3 linked regions of the Callithrix jacchus genome follow. The protein of the gene in region 1 purifies or fractionates together with the protein of each later gene. This does not show direct contact. Links are inferred from orthologs where the notes say so. Each region holds a gene or a part of one and is shown in the gene's direction. Other genes may lie near its edges.

Evidence for each region.
Region 2: the proteins of CBX5 (region 1) and MECP2 purify together in Homo sapiens (affinity purification with western blotting; 3 studies listed by BioGRID, with this or other methods). This does not show direct contact. The link is inferred for Callithrix jacchus from reciprocal best matches to the Homo sapiens genes CBX5 and MECP2.
Region 3: the proteins of CBX5 (region 1) and AHDC1 purify together in Homo sapiens (affinity purification with mass spectrometry; 3 studies listed by BioGRID and IntAct, with this or other methods). This does not show direct contact. The link is inferred for Callithrix jacchus from reciprocal best matches to the Homo sapiens genes CBX5 and AHDC1.

The regions. Positions count from the first base shown.
Region 1 is NC_133510.1:65,302,402-65,305,969, forward strand, and holds part of CBX5 (chromobox protein homolog 5), read left to right. Parts: coding exon 1-133; intron 134-3,568. UniProt on the Homo sapiens protein: Component of heterochromatin that recognizes and binds histone H3 tails methylated at 'Lys-9' (H3K9me), leading to epigenetic repression. In contrast, it is excluded from chromatin when 'Tyr-41' of histone H3 is phosphorylated (H3Y41ph).
Region 2 is NC_133524.1:149,941,918-149,945,348, reverse strand, and holds part of MECP2 (methyl-CpG-binding protein 2), read left to right. Parts: coding exon 1-685; 3' UTR 686-3,431. UniProt on the Homo sapiens protein: Chromosomal protein that binds to methylated DNA. It can bind specifically to a single methyl-CpG pair. It is not influenced by sequences flanking the methyl-CpGs.
Region 3 is NC_133508.1:64,215,344-64,218,911, reverse strand, and holds part of AHDC1 (transcription factor Gibbin), read left to right. Parts: coding exon 1-1,093; 3' UTR 1,094-1,136; intron 1,137-3,568. UniProt on the Homo sapiens protein: Transcription factor required for the proper patterning of the epidermis, which plays a key role in early epithelial morphogenesis. Directly binds promoter and enhancer regions and acts by maintaining local enhancer-promoter chromatin architecture.

The DNA.
Region 1 (3,568 bases):
TGAGTTTATGAAAAAGTATAAGAAGATGAAGGAGGGTGAAAATAACAAACCCAGGGAAAAGTCAGAAAGTAATAAAAGGAAATCCAATTTCTCTAACAGTGCTGATGATATCAAATCTAAAAAAAAGAGAGAGGTAAGCTTCCTTTCCTTTTTCCCCCACAAACTATCCTTTTGTCACCAAAATCATAATAATAAATAAAAGTATCGTATTTTGGTTATTTCTGTTACAAGGATGGACCTATAAGGTAAATTGTTGAACAAAAGAGCTTGCAGGGAGGTATGTTGATTATAGCTCCCTCTCCTGGCTGAGTGAGAAATGTAATTTGTGGCCACTGAATTGTATTAAGGTGGCAAAATTAAGTATTTGTAAAACATTAAATCACTCTTCTGCCTTCTCCATAAATAGAAGACTTAGTCATTTTAGAGAATAAGTATCATCGGTGAATTTTTTAAGAATAGAAAGGGGCTTTGAAATGTTTGCTACTTTCTTTTTTCTTGTTCCAATAATAGTCCTTGTTTGTAATCCTTGATAATCTTTTTTTGCAGTGAAAATCATAATGTACTATTAACGATTTTATTTATTTATTTTGAGACAGAGTCTCAGTCTGTCACCCATGCTAGAGTGCAGTGGTGTGATCTCGACTCACTGCAACCTCCACCTCCCGGGTTCAAGCAATTCTCCTGCCTCAGCCTCCCAGGTAGCTGGGACGGACTACAGGCGCACGCCACCATGGCCAGCTAATTTTTTTTTATATTTTTAGTAGAGACGAGGTTTCACCATGTTGGCCAGGATGGTCTGATCCGCCCGCCTCGGCTTCCCAAAGTGCTGGGATTACAGGCTTGAGCCACCGTGCCTGCCCTTTGTTTGTATTTTTTGGTAGAGACAGGGTTTTATCATGTCAGCCAGGATGGTCTTGATCTCCTGCCTCCCAAAGTGCTGGGATTACAGGCATGAGCCACCACGCCTGGCTGATTCTATTTATTTTTCTTTATTTATGTTTTGAGATGGAGTCTGTCATTCAGGCTGGAGTGCAGTGGCACAATCAGGACTTACTGTAACCTCTGCCTCCTGGGTTGAAATGATTCTCTTGTCTGAGCCTTCTGAGTAGTTGAGATTACAGGCTTGTGCCACCACACCCAGCTGATTTTTGTATTTGTATTTTTATTATTTATTTATTTGAGATGGAATTTCATTCTCGTTGCCCAGGCTGGGGTGCAATGGCGCGATCTCAGCTCACCACAGCCTCCGCCTCCCGGCTTTAAGCAGTTCTCCTGCCTCAGCCTTCCTGAGTAGCTGGGATTATAGGCATGTCCCATCATGCCTAACTAATTTTGTATTTTTAGTAGAGATGGGCTCCATGTTGGTCAGGGTGATCTCAAACTCCCGACCTCAGGTGATCCTTCCACCTGAGCCTCCCAAAGTGCTGGGATTACAGGTTTGAGCCAGTACACCGGGCTCAATTAATAATTTTAAAGTGTACAGTTCAATAGCATTTATATTCTCTTGATCTATTATTTCTACATACTTGGAATATAAAATTAATTTTTGTCTTTTGAATCTTCTTCAGTTTGGGAAGTATATTTACAACATTTTGGTTTGATTTAATTGCTTTAATCCTTCTGCTCTTTAGCTCTCAAGCAACTAGCATTATGAGCACTGTTATTGTTTGTCTTTTTTCAACTGTGTGTGGGTGCATAAATATACACACTCTACCACCTCCTCCTGCCCCCCGCCCAGCTTCTATTCCTTTCATTTATTTCAAGGTTATCAAGCATTTTGTGGTGAAGGCTGTATCATACACTTTACGATTAATAAAAGCATAAGTCTACTTCTGAATCTTCCAGCATCTCTGTCACAAGCATCCCTATTATCTTCATTCTACTTAGATATCTAACTTTCTAGAGCATTAGTTCTCAATCCTGGCTACACATTATACTCACCTGGACAGTGCTTTAAAAAAAAAAAAATTATCCAGTGCCTAAGATGCACCCCAGACCAGTAAAATTACAATTAAATTAAATTTATTTATTTATTTATTTATTTTGACAGAGTCTCACTCTGTCGCTCAGGCTGGAGTGCAGTGGTGTGATCTCTGCTCACTGCAGCCTCCACCTCCTGGGTTCAAGTGATTCTCCTGCCTCAGCCTCCCAAGTAGTGGGGACTACAGGTGTGTGCCACCATGCCCGGCTAATTTTTTATATTTTTAGTAGAGATGGGATTTCCCCATGTTAGTCAGGATGGTCTTGATCTCCTGACCTTGTGATCTGCCTGCCTTGGCCTCCCAAAGTGCTGGAATTACAGTCGTGAGCCATCGTGACCAACCTCTGTCCTTTTTAAAAATGAGCAGCCTGAATTATCTGGCTTAGAGACACTGGTCAGTGCAGAGAGTTTTGTTCCTAGGCCAGGTTCTGAAGCTGCCGACCTTGAAAACAACCCCTACGTGTCCCTTAGATCATAATGTTCATCTGGGGCCCCTGATAGCATTCTAGCAGTACTGGTTGCTGTCAGGTAGACAGTTGGGAAAATAGGTGATTATATGTTTTAAAGGTACAGAGGAGGGGATTGCATTTTTTTCTTAAGACCACTGCAGAAGAAATTTGTTAGTCTGCATTATGCCTGATTTAAGATTACTGCCTGTATGATGATTTTAGCGTTTTCTTCGCTTCGGCTCCTTTTCAGCAGCTTGAACATTTTTCTTCCATTTGCCCACCCCTTCCCCCCTCTATATAGCAAACTGTTTTCAGCTGTCAGCTATGATTTACAACTTAGTCCATGTGCCAGCATTCCAGCTGTGAGCAGCTGTGTGCACATCTGGGAACTTCTTCCCCTTAAGCACCCCCCAAAGAGGCTATGTTTTTAAAAGTCAGTATCTTTCAATGATTCATGCATGGAATTTCCTTCCTATTGAGGATTTTGGTATCTTTGGGGACCACCAAGACCCCAAATGCTTTCTGTGTCTGAGGAAAGCAAGGTGAACATAATCAGATCAAAAAGATTTTACTATAAGAATCATCAGTAGAGATTTAGCTCATTTGGGCATCTCTGAATCTTTTTTTGTGTTGCCACTGGAGAGGCTAACATTATCTTCCATAATAAAGTTTTTAAAAATTACCTAGCTTGGGCTGGGTACGGAGGCTCACACCTATAATCCCAGCTCTGTGGGAGGCAAAGGTGGGTGGATCATTTGAGGCCAGGAGTTTGAGACTAGCCTAGTCAACATGGTGAAACCCTGTCTCTACTAAAAATACAAAAATTATCCAGGCATGGCCAGGTGCAGTGGCTCACACCTGTAATTTCAGCACTTTAGGAGGCCAAGGCAGGCAGACCACCTGAGGAGTTTGAGACCAGCCTGGCCAACATGGTTAGCCCCCCGTCTCTATTAAAGATGCAATAACTAGCCAGGCCCAGTAGCGCACGCCTGTAATTCCAGCTACTTGGGAGGCTGAGAAAGAAGAATCACTTGAATCTAGGAGGCGGAGGTTGCAGTGAGCTCAGATTATGCTGTTGCACTCCAGTCTGGGCAACAGAGGGAGACTCTTGTCTCAAAAAAAAAAAAATTACCTGGCT
Region 2 (3,431 bases), on another chromosome or scaffold:
CGACCCTCAGGCCATTCCCAAGAAACGGGGCCGAAAGCCAGGGAGTGTGGTGGCAGCCGCTGCTGCCGAGGCCAAAAAGAAAGCCGTGAAGGAGTCTTCTATCCGATCTGTGCAGGAGACCGTACTCCCCATCAAGAAGCGCAAGACCCGGGAGACGGTCAGCATCGAGGTCAAGGAAGTGGTGAAGCCCCTGCTGGTGTCCACCCTCGGTGAGAAGAGTGGGAAGGGACTGAAGACCTGTAAGAGCCCAGGGCGGAAAAGCAAGGAGAGCAGCCCCAAGGGGCGCAGCAGCAGCGCCTCCTCGCCCCCCAAGAAGGAGCACCACCACCATCACCACCACTCAGAGTCCCCAAAGGCCCCCGTGCCACTGCTCCCACCCCTGCCCCCACCCCCACCTGAGCCCGAGAGCTCCGAGGACCCCACCAGCCCCCCTGAGCCCCAGGACTTGAGCAGCAGCGTCTGCAAAGAGGAGAAGATGCCCAGAGGAGGCTCGCTGGAGAGCGACGGCTGCCCCAAGGAGCCAGCTAAGACTCAGCCCGCGGTCGCTACCGCCGCCACGGCCGCAGAAAAGTACAAACACCGAGGGGAGGGAGAGCGCAAAGACATTGTTTCATCCTCCATGCCAAGGCCAAACAGAGAGGAGCCTGTGGACAGCCGGACGCCCGTGACCGAGAGAGTTAGCTGACTTTACGCAGAGCGGATTGCAAAGCAAACCAACAAGAATAAAGGCAGCTGTTGTCTCTTCTCCTTATGGGTAGGGCTCTGACAAAGCTTCCCGATTAACTGAAATAAAAAATATTTTTTTTTCTTTCAGTAAACTTAGAGTTTCGTGGCTTCAGGGTGGGAGTAGTTGGAGCATTGGGGATGTTTTTCTTACCGACAAGCACAGTCAGGTTGAAGACCTAACCAGGGCCGGAAGTAGCTTTGCACTTTTCTAAACTAGGCTCCTTCAACAAGGCTTGCTGCAGATACTACTGACCAGACAAGCTGTTGACCAGGCACCTCCCTTCCTGCCCAAACCTTTCCCCCATGTGGTCGTTAGAGACAGTTGAGAGGACACTCCCTTTTTCGGTGCCATCAGTGCTCTGTCTACAGCTCCCCCAGCTCCCCCCACCTCCCCCACTCCCAACCATGTTGGGACAGGGAGGTGTGAGGCAGGAGAGACAGTTGGCTTGTTTAGAGAAGATGGCTATGATCACTGGCTATGGCCCATGCGATCCCACCTGTGGTGGCTCAAGTCTGGCCCCACACCAGCCCCAATCCAAAACTGGCAAGGACACTTCACAGGAAAGGAAAGTGGTACCTGTCTGCTCCAGCTCTGGCATGGCTAGGAGGGAGTCATCCCTTGAACTACTAGGTGTAGACTAGCCTAAACCACAGGAGAGGATGGCCCAGGGTGAGGTGGCATCGTCCATTCTCAAGGGACGTCCTCCAGTGGGTAGCGCTAGAGAGGCCATGGAGGCAGTAGGACAAGGTGCGGGCAGGCTGGCCCGGGTCGGGCCAGGCCGAGCACAGCGGGCTGAGAGAGATTCCTAATCTCTCAGAGCAGTCTGTGACTCGTAGTTAGGGACTTAGTGGACAGGGGAGGGGCAAGGAGTGAGGAGAAGAAAATGTTTCAGTTACTTTCCAATTCTACCCCTTTAGGGACAGCTTAGAATTATTTGCACTATTGAATCTTCATGTTCCCACTTCAAAACAAACAGATGCTCTGAGAGCAAACTGGCTTGAATTGGTGACATTTGGTCCCTCAAGCCACCAGATGTGACGGTGTTGAGAACTACCTGGATTTGTATATATACCTGCGCTTGTTTTAAAGTGGGCTCAGCACATAGGGTTCCCACGAAGCTCCGAAACTCTAAGTGTTTGCTGCAATTTTATAAGGACTTCCTGATTGGTTTCTCTTCTCCCCTTCCATTTCTGCCTTTTGTTCATTTCATCCTTTCACTTCTTTCCCTTCCTCCTCCTAGTTCATTCCTTCTGTTCCAGGCAGCCGTGGTGCCCAACCACACTTGTCGGCTCCAGTCCCTAGAACTCTGCCTGCCCTTTGTCTTCCTGCTGCCAGTACCAGCCCCACCCTGTTTTGAGCCCTAAGGAGGCCTTGGGCTCCACCGAGTCCAACCTGGCCTGTCTATGAAGAGCAAGAGAGCAGCAAGGTGTTGCTCTCCTAGGTAGCCCCCACTTCCCTGGTAAGAAAAAGCAAAAGGCATTTCCCACCCTGAACAATGAGCCTTTTCATCCTTCTACTCTAGATAAGTGGACTGGAGGAGCTGGGCCGGATTTGGTAGCTGAGGAAAGTGCAGAGGCCCCCTATGGCCTACCAGTCATCGAGTAGCCCAACAAGGGCTCCATGCCACCCGACCTTGACCTCACTCAGAAGTCCAGAGTCTAGTGTAGTATACAGCGCAGCAGCAGCGGTGCTGATGCAGAACTTTCGATACCAGAGCTGGAACCAGCACCTAGGTCCCCGTCCCTTCTCTGCTCCCCTTTTCCCTTGGAGTTCTTTTCTAATGGAAGTGTTTTGCTTTTGCTTAATGCAGTGGGGCCGGAACAGCACACATTTCACTCTGGTCCATAGGCGTGGTGCAGGGTTTAGAGGCGTGGGCTTGCTGTGGGTTTTTAATTGACTAGTTTTCATTTGGGATCCCATCTTTTTAACCTCTGTTCAGGAAGTCCTTATCTAGCTGCATATCTTCATCATATTGGTATATCCTTTTCTGTGTTTACAGAGATGTCTCTCATATCTAAATCTGTCCAACTGAGAAGTACCTTATCAAAGCAGCAAATGAGACAGAAACACCCACGGGCATGTCCCATGTGAGCTGCTGCCATGAACTGTCAAGTGCGTGTTGTCTTGTGTATTTCAGTTACTGTCCCCTGGCTTCCTTACTGCGGTGTAATCATGAAGGAGTGAAACACCATAGAAACTGTCTAGCACTTCCTTGCCAGTCTGTAGTGATCAGGAACCATAGTTGACAGTTCCAATCAGTAGCTTAAGAAAAAAAATGTGTTTGTCCCTTCTGGAATGGCTAGAAGTGAGGGAGTTTGCCCCATTCTGTTTGTAGAGTCTCAAAGTTGGACTTTTGAGCATTTATGTATCCATTTCCTTATGCTGTAAAACAAGTCCTGCAACCAAACTCCCATCAGCCCAATCCCTGATCCCTGATCCCTTCCACCTGCTCTGCTGCCCACTCCCCCACACAGCTTCACTTCTGACTCTTCCCCAGGAAGGGAAGAGGAGTCAGAGGAGAGGGTGAGTCCTCTAGACTCTTCCTCCAAGGACAAAAGGCTCCTGCCCCCACAGTGGCCTCGCACTCCTGGCACCACCAAAGGACACTTATCCACAAGAGCGCAGCATCCAACCAGGTTGTCACTGAGATGTTTATTTTGGTCAGTTGGCTATTTATGCATTATTCTTAGTCCAATGCAATATG
Region 3 (3,568 bases), on another chromosome or scaffold:
GTTCGAGGCCTCACATCTGGGCTTCCCAACATCCGCCTCTGCTGCTGCCTCAGGCTACCCATCCAAACGGAGCACTGGGCCCCGGCAGCCACGGGGTGGACGGGGCGGTGGGGCCTGCTCAGCTAAGAAGGAGCGGGGTGGCGCAGCGGCCAAAGCCAAGTTCATCCCCAAGCCACAGCCGGTCAACCCACTGTTCCAGGACAGTCCCGACCTCGGCCTGGACTACTATAGTGGGGACAGCAGCATGTCACCACTGCCCTCATCACAGTCGAGGGCCTTTGGTGTGGGAGATCGAGACCCCTGTGACTTCATAGGACCCTACTCCATGAATCCGTCCACGCCTTCTGACGGCACCTTCGGCCAAGGCTTCCACTGCGACTCTCCCAGCCTGGGTGCTCCCGAGCTTGATGGCAAGCATTTCCCACCACTGGCCCACCCACCCACGGTGTTCGACGCCGGCCTGCAGAAGGCATATTCACCCACCTGCTCACCCACGCTGGGCTTCAAGGAAGAGCTGCGGCCACCGCCCACAAAACTGGCTGCCTGCGAGCCCCTCAAGCATGGGCTCCAGGGGGCCAGCCTGGGCCATGCAGCTGCAGCCCAGGCCCACTTGAGCTGCCGGGACCTGCCACTGGGCCAGCCCCACTACGATTCCCCCAGCTGCAAGGGCACAGCATACTGGTACCCACCAGGCTCAGCTGCCCGCAGCCCGCCCTATGAAGGCAAGGTGGGTACAGGGCTGCTGGCTGACTTCCTGGGCAGGACGGAGGCCGCATGCCTCAGTGCCCCTCACCTGGCTAGCCCACCAGCCACACCCAAGGCCGACAAGGAGCCACTGGAGATGGCCCGGCCGCCCGGCCCACCCCGTGGCCCTGCTGCAGCTGCTGCTGGCTATGGCTGCCCACTCCTTAGTGACTTGACCCTGTCCCCCGTGCCGAGGGACTCACTGCTGCCCCTGCAGGACACTGCCTACAGGTACCCAGGCTTTATGCCGCAGGCGCATCCCGGCCTAGGTGGGGGCCCCAAGAGCGGCTTCCTGGGGCCCATGGCGGAACCTCACCCTGAGGACACATTCACCGTCACGTCCCTGTAGTGCCAACTGAAGTGCCGACTGGACCGCGAGGTTTTGTTCCTGGGTGAGTCTGGGGATGTGGGCACAGCGGGCAAAGGCCCGGGGGTGGGGAGAGGACATCAGAGCTTAGTCAAGGACAGAGGTATGGAGTGAGCAGGAAGCAGGTGAAGGATTTAAGGGCAAGGCTGGGACCAGCGGCAGGGAGTAGGGATCCGCTGCTGTGGACAGTCTCAGGAGGAGGTGGGGTGCTGGGGCTGGGAACTCAGCAGGCGACTTGGACGTTCAAGGAGTCTTGTTAATTGAAATGGCCGGAGGACCATAGACTGGATGGGGCCCTGGCGTTTGGTTTATCAAGTTTTCATTTCCTTTGTTCATGCCATGTCTTGGGCAGGAAGTATTTCCCAGGAAATACACTGATAACAGTGGGCATTTGCATCACCCTGTGTGAGACAGGTGAAGGGAGAAGCAGGTTGGATGGTCACCTACCCAGGGCCTATTCAGAGGACCAGCCCTGCTGGTACCCCCATTTCCCTGGGAGCTTCATTGATTCTAAGAGGCAGCCTGGTGAGGGCCAGGTCAAGAGAGTGGCCAGGACGGCTTGGTCACACACTCTGCAAGGACTTCACAGGATGGCTCAAAGTGTCCTCTCTTGGCCTCCCAAGGTGCCCCCAAGAGCTGTTTTCCAACATCTGTGACCTGAGGTAGGCTAGGTGTGGCCAGGAGCATGTGGGGTAGGGACCCAGAAGTGGAGAAGGGGTGCTGGGATCCCACCGTCCCTGCAAACGTGCAGCCATGGGGACTACCTTCAGGCAAGATATTTTGACCCTGGAAAAGCCAGTCCCTTTCCTGAAGCTTTTCTGCGAGTTCAGTGAAAGAGTTTTAAATGTTTAGATGCTGTTTTTATCAGGTACTGTGACCTCATTAATTGGAGTCAGTTTTAGTATTCTCAAGATTTGGTGTTTTAAAAAGGAAAATAAAAGACAGAAAACGCCCCCAAAATGATCAAAGGGAATAGGGTAGAAGGAGTCATTTTCTTGAAGAACAGCCTGCTCCAGAAATTAGCCACCACAGGCCCCACTCTAGGACAACAGATCTGTCACAAAATTGACCCAGATGTGGCGGTTGGTGGCGGGGTAAGCCGGAGGCATGTCTGAGCCCCTCACCCTTCCCTTCTGCTGCCACTGAAGCTTCCTGGGAGTTTCTCTTCCTGGAGGAGTAGCTGGGCTCCTGGAAAACCCCATCTGTGCTCTGGGAGGCCATTCAAGGCCAGGGTGACTCAGGGTCCTGAAGTCATTATTACCCCCTCTCTGCCAGACCCTAGCTCCCCTGGTGCCTGAAGGTGACAAAGGGCAGCATGCGGGAATCAGGAGGCCTGGGGGAGGACCATTCCTGGATTGGTCACCAATTTGCTGCATGCCCTCGACCAAGCTTTTGCTCCTCTCTAAGCCTCAGTTTCCCCATCTTTTCAAGGAAATTTACTTTGATAACCCCTTAGGCTCTTGTGTAGCTCTGCATGGCAGAGACAATGAAGCAAACTTTTTTTTTTTTGGCAGCATCTCTTTCTTCCTAATGAAGCCAGGCCAAGATTAAAATGGCCTTCCATTCCCCATGCATCTCATTGCAAGCAGCAGAGGCTCAGATCTGAAGCAGGCCAGGGAGAAGCTGCTTAGGGTTTAAAATGTCAAACTCTTGATCCTTCTCACTGGAGGGGAGATGTCTCATGGATAATCCAGAAATGTGAAATAATCCAAAACTGTTCCTCCCAGGCTCTGGGTGGGAAAATGGACGGGTGTGGGGGCTGGGTATTTGGGCAGGTCACAGCTCAGTGAAATACATAATGGAACCACCCAGTGAGGTCTGAACGAAGGAGGAACTGGGATGCCATCCAGCCCCACATTCTGGCCCTGCTCCCCACTCAGGGCTGGGAGTTACCAGCTCTGTCCTCAAACCAATGCATTCCATTGTTCTAGAGACATCTGTCCAACACCCACTAGATGCCAGGCATTGGGGCACCACAGTGAACACCACAAATGAGGTACTGGTCCTCAGGGGGCTTCCCATTTAAAGGGAAAGACAACAAACAGTGGCATAAAGCATATGATGATTCCAGCTATGGGAAACACTGTGTAAGCCAAAAAAGCTAGAAGCTTGTAAGTGCACACAGCATGCTGACCGGACCTTGAAGCTGAACCTGAGGGATGAGGGGGCTGGACAGCTGGAGGGGAGTGGGAAGAGCATTCTGGGCAAAGGGAACAGCAGTGTGGAAAGCCTGGAGGCAGGAAGGGGCTCAGCTTTGAGGATCTGCCTATGGGAAGGCCATAAAGTTAAGTGAGGGGATGAGGCAGGCGAGGCCAGATCATGTGGGACATTGGAAGGAGTCTGAACTTCATTCCCAGACACACGGGGATCCACTGAAGAGTTCCCAGCTGGAATTCCCCAGGCCACCATGGAGCAGGGCTAGTGTTGAAGCAGGGAGACCAGCTGCAGTGGTCGACA